Drosophila melanogaster: one gene and its partners. The protein of the gene in region 1 purifies or fractionates together with the protein of each later gene. This does not show direct contact. Each region holds a gene or a part of one and is shown in the gene's direction. Other genes may lie near its edges.

Evidence for each region.
Region 2: the proteins of flw (region 1) and unc-13 purify together in Drosophila melanogaster (affinity purification with mass spectrometry, with the first as the bait; 2 studies listed by BioGRID). This does not show direct contact.
Region 3: the proteins of flw (region 1) and Myo28B1 purify together in Drosophila melanogaster (affinity purification with mass spectrometry, with the first as the bait; 2 studies listed by BioGRID). This does not show direct contact.
Region 4: the proteins of flw (region 1) and CG13625 purify together in Drosophila melanogaster (affinity purification with mass spectrometry, with the first as the bait; 2 studies listed by BioGRID). This does not show direct contact.

Annotation. Positions count from the first base shown.
Region 1 is NC_004354.4:10,384,022-10,388,987, forward strand, and holds the start of flw (flapwing), read left to right. Parts: upstream 1-1,938; 5' UTR 1,939-2,490; coding exon 2,491-2,542; intron 2,543-4,421; coding exon 4,422-4,814; intron 4,815-4,966. Other genes in the region: Psf3 (partner of Sld five 3), read right to left, coding at 265-405, 467-861, 930-1,032. UniProt on the Drosophila melanogaster protein: Required for cell adhesion in non-muscle tissues and in maintenance of muscle attachment. Vital for larval development.
Region 2 is NC_004353.4:890,557-895,433, reverse strand, and holds the start of unc-13 (unc-13), read left to right. Parts: upstream 1-1,868; 5' UTR 1,869-1,929; intron 1,930-2,484; 5' UTR 2,485-2,540; intron 2,541-2,593; 5' UTR 2,594-2,637; coding exon 2,638-4,877.
Region 3 is NT_033779.5:7,664,061-7,669,085, forward strand, and holds the start of Myo28B1 (myosin 28B1), read left to right. Parts: upstream 1-1,986; 5' UTR 1,987-2,016; coding exon 2,017-2,043; intron 2,044-5,025.
Region 4 is NT_033777.3:24,582,510-24,586,712, reverse strand, and holds CG13625 (uncharacterized protein), read left to right. Parts: upstream 1-1,552; 5' UTR 1,553-1,632; coding exon 1,633-3,576; 3' UTR 3,577-3,646; downstream 3,647-4,203.

The DNA of each region.
Region 1 (4,966 bases):
AAGTCAATGAAAAACGCAGAACGGCAGCTCCTATGTGTTTTGTTTAAGACCGGTCCCGGATTGGATGCTTAGTTATGCGTAGATGTATGCGAAACCCATGTATTTTGAACTGTACAAATGGATTTAGCCGTGTGCATAGAGTAGATGAAAAGTGTATTTTTGAGAGGTCAGGCTGCCCTATGGCCACCGAACGAATGGACGAAATAAAGTTGCTACAGTTCCACAGTACATCAGTGGTCTGTTTTTGTTGTTTTACTCTGCTTGTTACAAGGTGGCCCGCTTGCTGTTGGGCAGAGCATCGCCCTCGTCATCGCTGCGATCCGCACGTCGCCGCTTCTTTTGGTGCTCCTCGACCAGCTCCGAGGTGCGAATCTTGTTGCCCGTCATCTGCAGCCATTCGATGTACTGAAATTATGTGATTAATATAACACTCCGTGCCCACTTGACTGGTAGTACAGCCACCCACCTGACTGTTGGTGCGCACTCCAGCCTCGTGCAGCTTGGCCTCGATGTTATCCAGTCGATGCTCCGCCTTGGCTGCCTGTCCGTCGCTCTTCGAGATGTCCAGGAGATGACGTACCCTCTGGCGCAGCGTTTCGAAGATGATGCGGCCGATGACATGGTTGCGATCGTAGGGCGTCAGATAGCGACCGAACTCGTAGAAGTACGGGTGCAGGCGTCCCAGCTCGATGTGCGTGGTCTCCGCCTCGCAGACGGCCTTATGCACATTGCGATAGATATCTGGCACGGCGACGGTGAAGTAGGCATTGTTTACCTTCAGCTCCTTGATGTACCACAACGGCAGATTGACCGTCCTGCCGGGCTCCAGGTCATCCGATTCCGCGCCGGAGTCCAGGAATCCTGCAAGCAACTCAATATTGTCGGATTACTGGCCAGAATGTGCGTGTCCGTCCAAGCCAATCACTTACCCATCCGCTGCAGCTTGGTGTTCACCCGACATTCCACCTTCTCCTGGGTCACGAATATGTCCTCGATGGAGTAATAGTTCGGAAAATAGTTCATTCCGTTCATTGCGCGGCCCAGCTTTATGATTCGTTTGGTGTTTACTTTAGGTAAATTCAATTTCTTAAGTGCGCGACCTATCGCCTATCGATATTAGATGCATTTTGCCGGGGTCTATCGAGGCAGAAACAGCTGTTTGCCTGGATGCCGAGGCACTCGATAGGTTTTATGTACTATATATATCGAAGCATTTATATGTATTATATGTAAATAGTTTTTCCGGAAAATTACTCTTATTTCAGCGCGAATTTTAAATTGCAGCCTGCACTTGACATTTTTTTATACATAAAATTACTAGTCAGGGTATAATTACTCAAAGTTGTAAATGATGTGGAACATGTGAACTCAGCTTAGTAATAGTAATTCGATACGATTGCAATTAGATGGTTACTTCTTCCGCAAGTTCTTAGGCTTATCTGCATCTTTCAAAAACAAATAAAAATAAAGGTTTCGTTCCCGGCAATGACTATTTTGACTTCAATTTCGAACAATTGATCTTAATCTAGCCGTATGATCATCAAGTCGTCGATAAAGTCGCCCATATTAAAAATCATCAATCCACTTGAGATCAAAAATAGCAAAGCCGCGTGCTTCGAGTTTTTCTTGTTGGCGACGAGGAACGGACAGATGGTCGAAAGAGCCATTTCGATTTAGCTATGTGTGTGCAAGGATTAGAGAAATGTGTGTGTAGTTAATATCAGTTAATAACGAAATCATAGGGAGCACACAACTTGTTCGGTCGAGATTTGAGTTCACAGTAAGAAGTTTGAAGGCACGAGCGTTGAAGTGCGAAAAAGGACTTTGACAGTTAACTCCCGCGTTGCTGAGCACTGGCTGGCTTCGTTGCCCATCGGACTATCGATAAAGTCGAACTGTAAAGCCGCCGCCACCAAAAACTTTTTCAGCCTTCCGGCAAACGGTCATACTCAGCTAGCTGTCCGACGAGTTTTGTTATTGGCGGAGAAAAGATTACGCTGGTTTATAAATTCTCAGTTAAGCCGATTTCTCAGCTCCTCTCCCCCTGCAGAGATCTAACACATCTATATAGATATATATATTTTATATATTCCTTGATCGATTTGCGATCCCGAAAGTCGATCAGCCGTGCGTCTATATATTTTTTTTTCTGTTCTTGCCCCTCGTGCAACATCAGTGAACATCAGCGGCCCACCGTACAAAATCTCAATAAGAAAAAAAGAGAGCATAAAGTGAAATTGCCTTTTGCGGCAAGTAAGAAAACGACCAAAAAAGAGAAAAGAATATAACGACTATTTGAATTAAACAAAGTTTATTGTTTACAATAGCATACAATACAAGTTTATAAGCTAACGGGCGTCGCTGTGCGTGTGTGTGTGCTTGTGTGTGCGTGCGTGTAGTTGTTGCGCCAAAAATTCCAATCGGAATTCTGGAACAGCTGGCCACAACAACAAAACGCGGCCAATAGAAGAACAATTTAGCTGCTGAAAAATGGGCGACTTCGATCTGAATGTGGACAGCTTGATACAGCGGCTGCTGGAGAGTAAGTAGATGCGAAATTTCCCCCTCTTTCAATCCTACTTTCCCAAAACCTCCCCCCCAAACCCTCTACGCCCCTCCCACGCCACTGTCCCCATTTTAATTTATTACACAGTTTATCTGCGTGTGTGTGTGTGTGCGATTGCATTTTCTAATTATTGCACATTGTTCGCTTAAATGGTAGTAGGTTTTCTTTTTGTTGTTGCGACAGCCCCTCTCTCTACCGCCGCCGCCGCCACCGCTGCTGCCGCTGCAACCGTTTGAATTTGACTCTTGAATCAATTAGTTTTAATTGATTTTCATTGCTCCTCTTGAAAAACAGCAAAAACCATAAAAACAACAACAACAACAGCGACAGCATCTACGCTACGCTCATTAGCGTTTACATAATACTAACAGTGATCGCGCTGTTAAGCACGCCATCTCTGTCCTGCGCTAATGTCTCCCAAATGATTTTTGGTTTATTAGCTGTGTTTTTTCTTGTTTCGCCTATATTGGCAATGACGTCATCGAGCTGATAAACACGGGCGTGATTCAAACAGAATGTGTAGCTATGAAATCGCCGACGAAGGAATGGAACGGAATCACATGAGTTACTCGATAAGGAGCTTTGTCGCAAGTAACCCCACTGCCCGTTGGAGTGGGATCGCTGTTCGTGTCACGCAACTATCGCTAAAGACGGTTGAGAAATCTACGACCGATATATCCTATATTTCCTAGCCCCCAAGAAGATATTTTTATCCAGCGATCAATATCAATATAATTTTTACTGGGTATCGACCGCTATAGCCGATATCCACTGTATGTGGCTTAGAATGGGTGGTGGGGGCTGTGTCATCGTCGTCATCATGCAACCTTCCTGCAAAGCGTAAAAGCGCTAAATAGTTTACATTTTTGCAACCTCTTCTAGGTTTCGAATGCGATATGCCTTTGCCCTGGTGAAAACCCAACATCTGCGAGGGTTGCTTAAGCCGCTTAGTGCTTGTCTCGTTTTGCAAGTGTCAGCCAATGTCGAAGATACGGCATGGGACGGGATGGGCTTTTCCGCTTTTCCGGGGGGCGGGCCGCCGCCACCATTTGGCTTTAGCTCTGACCGACGCCACGGGGAAATTGCATTTGAACATTGCGATTTTCGGTTTTTGTCCATTTCCGCAATGAGTTTCGCTTTTCTTCCTCCGATTCTGTCTTTCGGTTTCACTTATTTCTTGCGCTGATATGACACGACCCAACTACAGTGGTCATTCGACGGAAGAACACAGCGGAAAAGGAAAACGGAGAAGAATCTTTTCAGATATCGGTTATGTTTCTACGTTATGAAGTATGTAAATATATCATAGAAAGTATATTTCCTTACTTACCGTGTTAGCTACCGAGTGATCACTGTAAACCACTCTCAGCTGCCAAAGCAGATGGGCGATGGGCAAAAGGGGCAGATTGAGCGAGATGGTCGAGGTAGGCCACAACCATTTGTCAAGGTCATCGAGTGGGCTAGGTCATGGCACTACGCCCACCACCCCATCCCCCGAAAAATGCCATTAATTTTGATCTATGAAGCGTCGTCAGCCTCTGTCACCGGCAGCAAAAAAAAAAAAAGAAAATAAAATGGCAAAAGCAGCGGCGGCGGCAGATAAATTTCATTTGTCAAATTGCAAATTGAAATTGAATTTTTAGGGCACTTAGCCGGGCTGTCGTGTTTTCTGGCTCTCGCTTTTCCGAGAAATATGGAAATTTCGCCCTCCTTTTGTGTTCTTTTATGCTTTTTTCCCGCAAGCCCACTCCACCTATCCCACACCCCTTAGTTTTAATAGATCTCTCTCTCTATATATATATATATATGTGTACGTATATATGAATATATATGTATATGTGCATCCATTCGAAAGACTTTAAAAAACAAAAAGAGGCCGAAGAGCACGCCCAGAAGCTGCTAATCGCTCAACAATTGGCCGCCGCCGGCGGAGCATCCGGCGCATCTGCCACATCGCCCACATCCAGCAGCAATTACTCGTCGATGGCGGCGGTGGCCTCCTTTGGATCCGGATACGGATCGGGATCTGGTGCTGGTGCTCCTGGTGCCGGCGCTGGCCCAGGATCCAGCCATGATCCGCTCGACGATCTCACCGAACAGCAGCGCCGTCTGCTCCAGCAATACTCGATATCGCCGCCCAGCGAGACGATGATATCGGCCGATGGCGACCAGATCACCGTCCATCATCCGCGCGAGGAGCCCAAGAAATCCAGATTGAAACTGCGCGATTTTTTCGTCGCCGAGTTTGGTATTACCACTTTCAATCTAAGAACAACCTCCCCTATTGATCACTTTGTCGATGTTTGATGATCATCCATAAGTCCAGTGCAAAAGTAAAAGCCATACTGCAGTGGTCACCATGACCATGAGACTTCATACTCTAAGTAGCGTGCTGTCCTC
Region 2 (4,877 bases), on another chromosome or scaffold:
ATGGCAAAAACAAAGGAGCTATCAGTTGGGCATCGAGTCGAGATTGTCACTAAACTTAAGACTGGTTCTTCTGCATCCAAATTAGCTGAGTTGTACAAAATATCACGTAAAACTGTGTACAATTTAGTTAAAAAAAAGGACACTGGGAAATTTGGAAAATTAAAAGAAACCTGGCCGAAAAGTTGCATTGAACCCAAGACTGCAGACACATTATTGGAGTTGTACTCAGTAATCCCACCATTAGTCCCGTTTTAATTGCCGCAGCTTCGAAAAATTTAATTGGAAAACATATAGTACACTGCGTCGCAGAATGAAGGAAGTTGACATCAACTCCTATGAAAAACGTCTCTCATTTGCCTTGGAGTATAAAGAGAAGCCTATCGAGTTCTGGTTTGATGTTTTATGGACTGATGAAATTGGGTTTCAGTTTCAGAGATCCTTTAGCAAGAAATTTATGCATTTCCCAAAAAAACTAAAGGTTGAATGCCGTCCAGCTAATCAATCGATTTGGTGGTGGCACGGTGATGTTCTGGGGCTGTTTAAGCTACTTTGGATTTGGAGACATGGTACCGATAGAGGGTACAATAAATCAAACAGGATACCTCCATATCTTAAATGAGCACGCATTCACCTCAGGAAATAGACTGTTCTCCACGAAAAAAAAACGCAAAAAACAATTAAAAAAGCTGTATGTAAATAATTTTGACGCGTAAAAATTGTGTGTAAATACTTTTGACAACAGACAAGGATCAGTTCAATGCTTCTATTTTTAAACCCTAAACAGTTATTTTTTCCACTTCTTCTTTCGTTGGGTAAAAAGCTGTTTTGGCTGCCTAACAATTTTTTAACGAAAATGTATTGACGAATTTAAGGAATTTTAAAGTATATACAGCTTTAAGGGTTTTACGAAAAGTGGTATTGTCTGTCAAGCACTTAAACATAAATAAATGCATACTAGGATTGAGCAGACAGACAAAAAAAAAAACAAAATTTTCATATTAACAAATTCGCCAAAAACATAATTTTTCTCCTGAATATAATTTTTTTAAGTATTGGTTGTTTTTTTCGTTGCCTTTCCTTTACTAGTATTTTTATTTCTTTGCTTCGCCAGTACGCTTATCGTCCACCCTGACCTATTGCTAATTGATAACCACCATATATTTTATAAACACAAATCTAACAAATTTAGGATTTTGTAACGGTATAAATAAGACACCGCCGTTTTATCTTAGAAATTTCATATCTGTTTCAATGAATGGCAACATTAACTCAAAACTTTTAAACAATTCATGTAACGACCGCAAATTGATGCTCGATAAATAACGGAAACAGTTCCTCGCATTTCTTGAGCAATGGGCATGTCACAGTCAAAACTTTCGACTAAAGCTTTCAAAATTGTTCTTAAATATTTAATGTTTGTCATTTCCTTTTTAAGGGAATTCCATTGGACTTGATCTTGAGACAATTCTGACATAACGCAATGTATTGCCCCTGAAAATTATTCAAAATTGATTAGGGAGTACGACTAAAGCTTTTAATTTGAATGGTCTTAATTTGACATATTTCGAGGCAACTCTTAACAAAATCGTTCGATGTAATTATTCTGAAAACCTGTTAACCGTTTACGAATTGTAAACGGTTAATAAATGGTCTTAGATGTGACATTATAAAAAAAGGAGTAAGTTCAGTTTATTACAAAAACTTTAAGAGCGTTTGACAGAGAATGGTTAAGGCATGCGCAATAGATAGAAAAATATTCTCTTACATTTTTCCCGTCTTACCCACACTTGACTTTTTTCTGTATACATAAGCTTTTCAATGGTGTACTAAAAACTAAAGTTCTAAGTGTGTAACTGTCATCCGCGCAAAGCTTACTTGCTGGTAGCTTCATGAAAACGGAGCTAGGCGCAACAAAGAATTTACTAAATTGTACTGTGAATTTCAACGTTTTTTTAATTCTTAGCAGAGCACAAATAATTGTTCGTAGTGGTTTCAAACCGTTTACATTAAGAAAGCCAGATAAAAAAGCTTAGGCCTTTTAGTTAAAAATTGCATATACATAATTTTGTGCACAGAAAGACTATAAAACAGTTTTGTTTTTATAAAAAAGAAAAAAAGCTGGAATCGCTCTTAAGCCCAGATACCAAATAATTAATAAACGCATCCATTTTAGGATCCCCTTTACAGTACATACAAGCATAATTGAAAAACCTACCAATATTAAACCACATTTGGTACTAGTTAATTAATTGCACAAGTTTTTTAGTTGAAGTAAATTTCAAACAGACACATGTGTATTTTGTTACAACTAATATAGGTCATATTTAAAAAGCATTTTTATTTACTTTGAGTGTGCTTAGAAGTGAAATTAAGACCGGGTTTTATCTAAATACGTTTTGAAATACACATACATACATAGTACAAGAACCTAATTTTAATAGTTATGTGTATTTTTTTTGTCGTCAACCACTTAACGCTGTTTAGGTACATATGTATATAACAATTCAGTATTACAGACGAAATTGGCTTTTGAAATAAACGTATGTATTCCACACAGAGCATTAAAACACATTTTAAAAACAAAATTATTTAGGTAAAAACAAAACTAATCCATCGAATAAAACCCTAATTAACGGTATGATGAACACATCTCAGCTGCAAGTGACCGGGGATACGGAAAAAAAAAGTCAGTTGCTTAAAAAGGAACTCAAAATAAACACCCAGGAAAAGCTTATCTTTGCAGAAAATGCCCTCAAAAGCCAGATTAAAATAAAGGAGCAGTTACGACTTCAGCAACAATCAACGATTTATGCGTCGTCACTATTGAGCTCTTCTGCTGCCGGATCAGTAAGAGCTCCGCTCTTAAGCCAGGGGCACCTTAATTCTATCCAACACAACATGGATTTTGACCTTGCCAAAGCACAAATACCGGAAATGCAACCACCGATGAGTAAGTCGCCCAATGGATTGGATTTCTCTTACTTAAGTTATCCAAGCATAAATACTAATGAAAGTATGATATCGATTAAAAGTGAACAACAGTTGTGTCAGAGCTACAATTCGGAGCAACACTCTGACTACATTATCTCCGATTATATGGATAAAATTGCAACAAGGATCAGTTTACTCGAGACAGAGCTGAAGTTTGCTTGGCGTGCATTGGATTTGCTTTCTACGGAGTACGGAAAGATTTGGATTCGTTTGGAAAAGCTTGAAAACATATCAATAGAACAACAGTCTGTCGTTGGCAACCTTGTGGATCTTATCGGCGCATCAAAAAAAGAACTTCAAAAAGTGGATATCGAAAGAATGAAAGTACCCTTATATCAAGATGAAGATCAATTGCTACCGTTGGAAATGGAAGACACATTAGATATAGATATCCAATCATCTAATCGTGACTTTGATAAGAATCTTACTTTTGAAAATCATGAAAAAACTTTTGTAACAAAACATACGCAAGCTACTAAATCGGAAGACCTTATGAATTCCGCTTACGCAATAGATTCCCATCCAAATTTTGAAAACATTGATTTCAATGGCAAAAACTTAGACATTGGGATAATAAAATTTGGTTTTGAAAAAGGCTACGAGCCAAAACAAAAAGGTAATCAATCGGATTTTGAAGCATACAAGGAATCAAGAACTAAACTTTACTCAGATTCTGACCTTATGTTATATGAGAGGCAGCAGTTTCTAGCAAATAGCGCGCGTGCCGAATTAATGAAAGAATTTTTAAATGGACGTCGAGTTTTAAATGAGATTTCGGCATCCTCGGGTGCATTGTCAAAAAGTTCTGAGAAGGATAAAAATCTTGTAAAGCCTAGAGAACCACTGTTAAGTGAGATAGATGATACATACGTGAGACGGTCAACCTGTGAACTTGTCAGCCCTAGTAGTAATAATTTTTTTCAAATAGCAGCCTCTAAAACAGGCGAGGGTGGAAATCAGGTTTTACCCATTGAAGACACTGGAGGAACAGAAAGTCCAGCTAATATTAATGAAGTAGACGAATCTTTTTATAAAAATCTAAACGAGGCTTATCGAGACAATGAATTGAGCTCTGAGATATTTAAGGTTGATGCATTGCTACATCAGTCTGAGGCCACACATGACCACATCTCATTTATCCGAAACCAGTCAACTTCTTCCCCAGTTTTAAATAATCAGAGGGTGAATGCTATTACAGGTACACAACCTTTACAGACTGCAAAGGCGTGTCTCGTAACAGAGCCAAACCAACATTTGAACAAAGAACCAAGAAAGCACAGAAAAAAAAAACATCATACAAACGAAATGGATATGATTAATAAACTAAAGTGTATCCTTGCACAAGCACAATCAACAGAGATTATTAAGAGAGACATTGAAGAATTGGGTTCGAAACTTTCAGATGCATGTGTAAAACAAACTGAAACGGAAAATAAATCAGACAACCATATTAGTACCAGTTATTTAAAAGATGATATACGAAAAATGTTAAACAACGTAATACAGACTTTATTGGGGGAAATAAATAAAATTAAAGGGTTACAATCATTGAGTGCAACGCAATTGAGTCAGTTACAAAATGCCGTATGGTCGGAAGAAAGGTTTTTTCAAAAAATTAGTCTGGTCGATAAAAAGTTGACTTTGCTGTTACTTAATCCGTTAACTGTTACTGAAGAACTGCAAAGGCTTTGCATTTCAAACACAAATGAAAAGTTTGTTCTGGTAATAAAAAAGTTAAAAAAAAATATTGACACTCTAAAAAAATTAGTTGGCAGCTCATTGGATGACTTTAAAATAGATAATTCACACGCAAATATGACCACATTTCACAGCCTTAATCCATCCCATAATTCTAATGATAGCAGTTTTAGTGCACATTTATTAAG
Region 3 (5,025 bases), on another chromosome or scaffold:
AAATAGATTTTTCACTCTCAAAAAAAACCGAAAACGGCTAAATTATACAGAAATAGGAATGGAATTGCAGTAAATCGGTAAGGAAAGTTAGGGGAGTGTAATGCGTGTAAATGTTTGGAAGTTCAAATGGTAATTCCCGCTAGAAATTTGTAGCGATTAAGTTCCATTGCTCGAACTTAAGTTACTTTCTAGTTGATTAGGCCTTACTAAGATCTTCCATGTATATATGAAGTACTTAAACATTATCCCCCATAGTCGACCTCATTTTTGTATTATTTATTTTCAATAGAACCGAATTAGCAATTTCGCATTCCACAGTACCAAATGAGGTAATCTGAATTGATGACAAACGATTGAGGATTGCAGGCCAATACTCGAATTTTATTCCCCAGGCTCTGATGTCGTTTTTATGCCGCACATGAATTCTGTCAACGTCCCATCAACAAACAGTCATATACGAGTGCCCCATACCGCCAAAAACCAAATGTGTTGGCATATGTTATGAAATTAACGAGTTTACTTTATGCGGGCGGCATTATAAACAGGCAAACAAAAATGGCCTAATAAAATTGTCAATAATGCGACACCCACATGCGGTGAGGAAATCAAATGAGGGTTAGCAAAGTGCGGAGAGTGCTGAGATAAATGCTGACAACAAGGACATTACTCATACGCAACGTGTGCACGCTTCGACTGGAAATCAACTGCAGCTGACCAAAAATCAGTGTCACTTTCAGCGGGTTCATTTATCATCGTTTTGCCTTGGCGGCATCCAAGGATTGAGGGTCAGAGGAGCAGGTCCTGGGTCCTGGGGCAGCTGTCATGTTGAGCTAGTCAACGTGATTTGTCTCGACGCCAGTCAAATCAAGTTTTTCCTAGAAGTCGTGCCCTTTCGCTGATGGCACACTGAGCGAAATGTGTGCACCAAAGAGGAAAATTATTTTGTCCACTTTTTCTTCTTCCTCTAAATAGCTATTGATCATTCGTTGTCAAATATTAGCTATCTGTTGATAGTTTAGCTCACTCTTTTATAACTTAATAATATGATTATAATCTTCACTATTTTTTTTATTGCGATGTTAATCTCTGTGCATGAAAACCGCACCCACTCTCGGGGTGGATGCGATGGGAAAATATGGTGCCAAGTGAAAACTTTCAAGGTCCCACGCACACATTTCCTCGTTGTTGCGTGTAAACTCATAATTTGGCGGCACGGTGAAAGTTTTGCTTAGAATTCGTTGTCGCTCAATTTGATGCGTGCGAATGGGCGGTAAGCGTGGGGCGTGGCTCTCTAGGCTATTATGATTATCGCTTGCGAAAACATTAATTAGAAGGTCATTGGCGAACAGCAAGAGCTGTTCGTTAATAATATTAATTAAGCCATTACGCTCAACTTCCATTTGGGTTGGTTGAGTGTCAATGGAATGGCATTACCCAAACTTAATTGAAGCAAAATGTAATGCGACACTGGGGAGGGGAATTACGGAAGGACTAATTGTAGCCACTTACACGTCAGGGTATTTATTCGAGTAGTAGTTTCAAGCTAAGCCAGCTAATTGCCTACTTTTAATTTTAGTTTGACTCCTTCAATGCATTTTCTTTTTATTCAAACTTAGGCTGAGAAGGTTGGACAACGTAAGGGTATATTTTTAAATTTTACAATACCACCATTGCTGTTAACAGTCAATATAACACAAGAATTCTGGAATACTGATAACATTTTGTGTCATTTCATTGAATTTTTAAATGCATCGCAGATGTGGTGCGAACTGTTTCCCTTAGATTTAGTTCTCGCCCATTTGCCATTTCTTTCGGCTCATCTCTCGCATTTTCCCATTTCCGCAGATCAGCCAAACGGCAATGGCAATGGTAATGGCAAAGAAAAGCGGCCGAGTGGCAGGAAAGGCAAACAACGGCATGGAAAACTAGATAATGTGGCAAGCGAATAAACAAATCTCGCCATGGGCCCCTCTCTATATACACAGTTGGTCAGTTCCGCACAAGTCGGCGTAGAAAATGGACGCCGGCTATTCGCCCCGAAAAGTACGTGTGAAATTATCATTATTCAATTGTGTTTTTGGGTAAAGTGCGAGTGTATGTATCTGCATGAACGGGAGTGTGTTTATGCGTTGGTAAATTAAATTTGAAACGCAACGCAATTAAAGAAAGTGAAATCCGATCGAATTGAAATGCAATCAAATGCGAATTCAAATCAATAAAATTGATTGCAGAGCGGGAGGAGAAATCAAATAACAGGCAGGAAAAGTGGTCGGAAAAGCTTTCACCGGACAGCCCACGACTCTGACATTTGTTTGGGCGGATCGCAAAATTGACCATTCACTGGAAATGCGTTTTTAATGTTCCAGCTATGTGGTAATGACAAAGAGTCCATGACCACCATCTGTGGTGCGGATGTGGATTCACTTGCCGCACTTCGTGGCCATGTTCGACCTTTTCCTCTTTCACCTTTCACTCCCCCCGAACCGGATGTAATAAAGGCGAACGAAGACGGACATGCAACGGAAGTGCAGAAACACCCTCCGCGGCCAACTGCCCCAGACTGGGTGCCTCGTAAATTCGGATGGTTTCTGTTATTTACGGTCTGTTTGATTGCACAACAATGTGTTTATGTGTAAGGTGACATTTGTAATTGGCAAGGAAGCCAGGAAGTCGACCCCGACGACATTCGCAGAAAGCCATAATAGTAATGGTAAACGTGGTGGGACGTTGCAGGTGAAGGCACTAACCATAAATCGCGATTGCTATCCAAAGGAATGTTTTTTGTGAATGTGTGTTGGGCTTGAAGGTCAAACTTAAAAAGTTAAAAATAAAATGAAGTCAAGTGGCTTTCTAGCTTAGTGTCCTTCCTAAATCAAGCCTCGAGATCTGCTTCGATTAATTTGATGTGAAACTAGATAGAACTTTGAAGATACATTCCATTTTTATTAATAATATATAAAACAAAGCCCACACACTGACATCCATTTAAACAATGCACTCAAATATATAGCCCAAGTATTTGTTTCCCGTTTTTATTCCAACTGCTGCTTCAAGTAAATATTATTAATATGCCAAATCTGGTAGCCGCGGGCTGACTCTTGGAATCGAAACTCAGCAAACAAATGTGTTGATTGAATTTATTTTTATTAAAATGTTATCCCAGCAGACACCTCCTCACAATCCGAAAACCATGTGGCACTGAATCCTGGCACTTGCTGGTTGGCTGCCACGTCCTTGTTGACGTTTTGTTTGTTTTTCTCTCTGTCGTCGTGGTCTTTTTTATTTTGTTACGCCAAGTAAAATTGAATTCAGCTGAAATCTCTTTGAGTTGCTCACACGTTCTTATTATTTCACGGAACAAACAGAAATCCCTTCCAGCCCAGAAAGATTTATCCTTCGCCTTCCGTTATTTTCTGTCAAAATTGAAAAGTTTCTCGGGGAACAGCCGTCATAAAAAGCAAGAAATAAGTTCATAGTGCCAAGAAGGATATCAGCGATGTTGCGGCTATGTTTGCCTTGCTGTCGCCTCGCATTTTCGAAAATGTTTTGCATGCGAATGTTGTCCAAGGACACTTTTTGCCATCCTCTCGCCCCTAAGCATTCCAGCCCTGACACACATTTTCCTTTTCCGCCAAGAAGCAGAGGAAATGCCACCAAAACGCTGAAACGGTTTCGGTTTCGCTGCCTACCGGTAAAGAGATTAATTAACCGATTCCGGCTGCCAGTTGGCACATTTCCCTCTTCGCTCGCAGTTAATTAGCGCACACTCTTGGTGGTGGTGGTGGTGTGTAATTTCCCAGAAAATCATTGCAGAAAACGCTGACGTCATTGACATATGCCCCAAGCTCCAGATGGCAAGGGAATCCGACCAACCCGCAGACAATGCCTCAATTAATCCCCATAATGGTCGAAAACCGCAGCAACATTCGTCCCACAATGTCCCGAGATGTTGACAGTTGTCAGCCTCCTTTTGTTTCCGCGGCAATCAGTCGAACAAATTGCTCTGGAACGCAGTGAGGAATTATAACTGGCTATGGGATAATTGTTATCTGGCTGCTGACGGATAACTGATGAAATGCAAATGGGCTCAAATCAACGTCTGAGCTGGCTTAAAACAGCACTTAGATCTGACGACTGGCAAAGAAAATTAAGGGCTTTTAGACTACAAGCCTATTATTTATGTCCATGTATCATCATCATATGTATACAATTCAAAACAAATTACACACTTAAGTCTCAATATTGAATTGCAACCCTTTTAATTATGATTCGAAATAGCTCTGTACAAACAATTGTACAATTGCCTTGCAGATAATAAACTATTGCGAGTGCTTTTGAATTCTGAGTTGCAAGTGATTAAAATTTCATTATTTCTTATGTATTCAACATTTATTTAGTTTTAATAAAATATTCCAGGAACGAAACTCATTAGTGTGATATTTTGTTTGTTTTTTTTTTTCGTGCAACTGATTTGCGTGAATGAAACGTTTCCAATTAATAAGGAGTCCAGACAGACGCAAACACGTATATTCACACTGTGCATAAATGATTAATGATCTGTGTCCTGGCCGTGTCCTTTCTATTCGCAAACGATGCGCAAAGGACCGTTCACGCTGGACTCACGTCTGCTGTCCACGCTGCTTTTGCATAATTAAATCATCCTCAATTGCTCCACATTTTTCCGACTTTTCTCACATTACTCTTTGTCTAGCTCGGTGGCTGTCAGTCATTTTTGCCGCTTTGCTTGTCCGCAGGAATTATCTGGACCCCGTGGTACTCTACCTATTTTTTGGGTCTCCTCTTCGCCTATCGCTTTCCAATAACAACAGTTGAGTGGGAATTGATATTTCGCTTTGATTTAATGAAGGGATGTGGCTTATTTTTAATGCGAATCTAAGAAGTTAAGTCAACTGCGGAAATTCCTTGAGGAGTGAATCAACGCCAAAGGACTCAATCCCCTTGGAAATCCCCAACTGAATTCCATTCAAAGGTATGTTTATTTCCATTTCACCGACTGAATAAACT
Region 4 (4,203 bases), on another chromosome or scaffold:
CAAAACAGAAACAGAGATGGCAGAAGTAGAGCGCGGCAGACAAAGCAGCGAGAGCGAGAAGGAGACGCGCGTAAGAGCGAGTGCGTCAGAGCGAGAGATAATGAAGATGGCAGGGGGAGGGTAAGGAGGTTAAGCACGCCGTGGGCTTTAAATTTCATGAATGCGAGCGCAAAAAACTGGGCAAAAAGAAATGCGAACAATGCAGAAAAAGGGGTAATGGAGAGAACGCAACCAAAACAACGGAATATAATAAGAGCGCTTTAAAAGCTCAGTTAAGCGAATTAATTTGCATGCCATTCGCGCGTTCTTGCACTCAAAATGTGAATATGTGGGTGCCCCCGACCCTTTGCTTACCAACACCACCGCCCCGCCCCCCCCGCTTCGCTCCTCCACAGCCCTTTTTGACTTTCCCCAACGCTTTTCCTGCCAATTGTTGTTCGTCTCGGGCATTGTTGCTGCGTGCTCTTTGTTTTTGCGCTTCATTTCATTCGTCACTTAAACACCCCTCGTCACTTAGTGCCCCCTACCCCTTCCCCATCAGACCCACTGCCCCCCTGCCGCACAAAATGCAACATCCTGGCAGCCATGTGATGCCAATGCCGATTCCCTATGCCGATTCCACACAAAAAGGCTGCAGTAAGAGCCCTCGAGGACTTTCCACTTAGTCTCCTGAAGAGAACGCGCCACTTCAGAGTTTTCAGGAAGTAAGACAAATAATTGCCGTGGCTCGATTTAATCCGCCATTTAAGCGCATTTAAGCCGCTTATTCGGCTGCTTAGTACTTACGTTTTCTAGGAAACAGAAACATTCACCCGAAGTTAATCCGCCGCCGATAACGCCGCCGCCAGCAAAATAAGGCCGGCGGCCCAATTAACAACGCCCATGCAACACGATAATTAGGTGCAACTTTTCTCTTCTTCGATCACATAACGAAAGTTAAATGTAAATGGGCTTTGGAATTCACAAATTTTTACGAAATTTTCTTTTCTATGCGTTTCCTGCGAAATTTCTCTCAGCGGAAAACACGCTGTGGCGAGTTTGAAGGCTTCACCAGGAATTTGTTGACTTGTCAGTGCGCCTCGAAGTTAGTGATGCGCAGGCGAATGGCCGCAAAAATAATCGCATGAATTTGGGCAAATTGGTAAGCAGAGTGCACTCGTCTATTGATGAGCAGCAGTTTTATTCAGGCAATTAGGTGCATTGAAAACTTCCAAGTGTAAATATTTACCTTAATTCCATAACATAACTGCCTTATCGAATGCTTTTGGTTAACAGTTAGTCACTATGGCGCGCAGAATAATTGATTTAAAAATTTGAAGCGCAATATTACGTTTTAAGAATGTAATGATCAATAAATGGCAAGAAATCAAATCTACATAATAATATATGCTATCATATTGAAGAATGTAATGAAAAACAAGCTTAGTTTATATAATTAATTAAATGACAAGTGCATACACGCTGGCGTTGCCAGACTGCTGCACATTGTTAACTGCGTGCTGTTAAGCGCAGCCTAACAGCACTCAAGCAGTGCGTGGCATTTCGACACATACTATGAACGGTAACATTGAGCACATAAAAAACGTAAACAATTCATTGTAAATTACAATTTCCCGCTTTTATTGCACAAAAATGTCCATGCAAAAGGCCAAAGTCATCGACCAGAAGGAGTACCTCAAGAAGTACCTATCCGGCGACAAGGAGAAGAAGAAGAAAAAGAAGGAGAAGAAGCACAAAAAGAATTCGGCCAACACCAAAGTGAAAATCATCGATGACGACGCCTACGAAAATGATAATCTGGAAATGGACGAAGATCTACTGCTGGGCGGCGAGGATGCGCCTCAAATTGTGGGCGAGTACATCGAAGAGGATCCCAATGTGCGCAGCAAGTGGCGCAACATTGCCGTCAAGGATGAAATCAAAGAAGAGCACGAGGAATCCTCGCCAGCAACTGGCATTCGCATCAAACAGGAGCCCTTGGATGAGGAGCAGGAGATGTGGGGACGCAAGGCGACAGTTGTTAAGGTTAAGGATGAATTCTCACCATCCAGACGAAGTTCACCCGTCAGAATTAAGCAAGAAAAACGCAGCAGCTCTAGGGATTTAAGCCCAGCGAGATCGAGTAAGCCAGCAAAGCGAGAAGAGAGTCCTCAAAGGGGGCGAAGAAGGGCGGGAAGCTCAGATCAGAGTCCCACCAGACGAGGGCGAGATGGCGATCAGTCTCCGCCACGCCAAAAGCACAGGGATTCCGATCAGAGTCCACCCCGAAAGGCCAGGAATGGCAATCAATCGCCAGTCAGAAAAAGGCGGGATTCCGACCAAAGTCCGCCAAGAAAACGAACGGGAAAAGCATCACCCACTCGAAGGAGAAGGGATTCCGATCAATCGCCACCCAGACGCCGCAGAAGTAACTCCGATCAGAGTCCGCCAAGGCGACGTAGAGACAAGGATTCAACTCCGCCCAGAAGGAGGAAAGATTCCGATCAAAGCCCACCTCGAAGGCGTAAAGCAGACGATCAATCTCCGGTGCGAAGGGAAAGGAAAGACTCCGACCAAAGTCCGCCTAGGAAACGGAGAGACAATGACCAGTCTCCAGTGCGAAGGAGGCGGGATTCAGATCAAAGCCCGCCCCGAAGACGCAGAGATGACAAGCAAACGCCGCCAAGGAGGAGAAGAAACTCCGATCAAAGCCCGCCAAGAAGACCCAAGGATGTAGATCAATCGCCACCGCGAAGAAAACGAGACTTCGACCAAAGTCCAACCAGAAAACGAGACAAATCACCACGCAGACGTCACGACTCCGACCAAAGCCCGGCCAGAAATCACAGAAGTCGAGAGCGCAGTCCACCGCCTCGTAATCGCTTCAAGGAAGAAAGGAAAAGTCGCTGGGCCAAGGCATCGCCCAGCAAATCAGCATCTCCACCTCCGACACACAAGCCGAAATCCACCAAGACACTAGATGGCAAGAAAGCTGGACTGCAGGATGCGAAATCGCTGAAGAAGGAAACCGACGAAAGGCGTCGACAAGAACATGAACTATTCGAGAAAATGTCCAGCGAAATTTCCGGTCGTGATGGCGATGTGCAGGTGCGCAGTACTCGCAGAAAGGGACACCGAGCACGAGATGCCGCCAATGAGGATCCCGCCGAGCAGGGCCGCAAAGAGGAGCACGAGAAAAAGAAGAAGGAACTGTACGATCGCTGGGGCAAGGGGTTGAAGCAAATAGAAGATCACAAGTCCCGCCTGGAGGAGATGGTCCATGAGGCCTCCAAACCGGTGGCTCGCTATGCCAACGACGAGGATCTGGACAGGCATCTGCGCGAACAGGAGCACGCCGACGACCCGATGCTGGAGTACATGCGCCAGAAGCGCAAGAAACGCGACCAGCAGGACAACAAGCCGGTGATGCCCAAGTACGAGGGCAGCTTTCCGGAGAACCGATTTGGCATCCGACCAGGATATCGCTGGGATGGCGTCGATCGATCCAACGGCTACGAGCAGCGTTGGTTCGACAAACAGAACGAACGGCGGGCCGTGCAGGATGAGGCCTACAAGTACAGCGTGGAGGATATGTGAATGTTGCAAGCGTTGTTTGCTTTCGTGTTGCAATAAAGATGTAGGCACTGCCTGTAAAAAAGAAAAGAGCAATTACATTGATCGTTTTCTTTGTTTTATTGAATTATTTTGGAAAATAAAGAATGTAAATAGGTAATATAATATTTAATATTTATTTACAAAAATTTGATTTTCGAAATGCCCGCCACTTTCCCGCCAAATCGACGTGCCACCTGCAACACTGGTCGCCAGCGCAATGCAACCCTGTGTGTAGAATAGCGGAGCAAAAGCGAATGGTAAATAGTCTTCATCTACACCTGCGACCTGCTCGTCGCTCCCAAAAAATCGTTTCAAAACCACGGAATAAACCGTGTAACTGGGGAAAACCCATTGTAATTATCAAGTTTAAAGTGTGCCGCACATTTTGGCTTCAAAACCAGAATAGGTAAGTGACATCATCTGCTAAATAGAAGCATTCTAAGATTTTTGCTTTGTAAGCAATAGAGTATCGATGTGTGTGTGTGTATGTAAATGGTTCTGCTTTTGGTTGCTTTGTTGCTGCTTTCGTTACAGCGAACAAAGCGTAAGCAACTGTATATGTGTATCGAGTGGGACGCCAGTGGTGTGTGTTTGTTGCCCCGCCCCCAA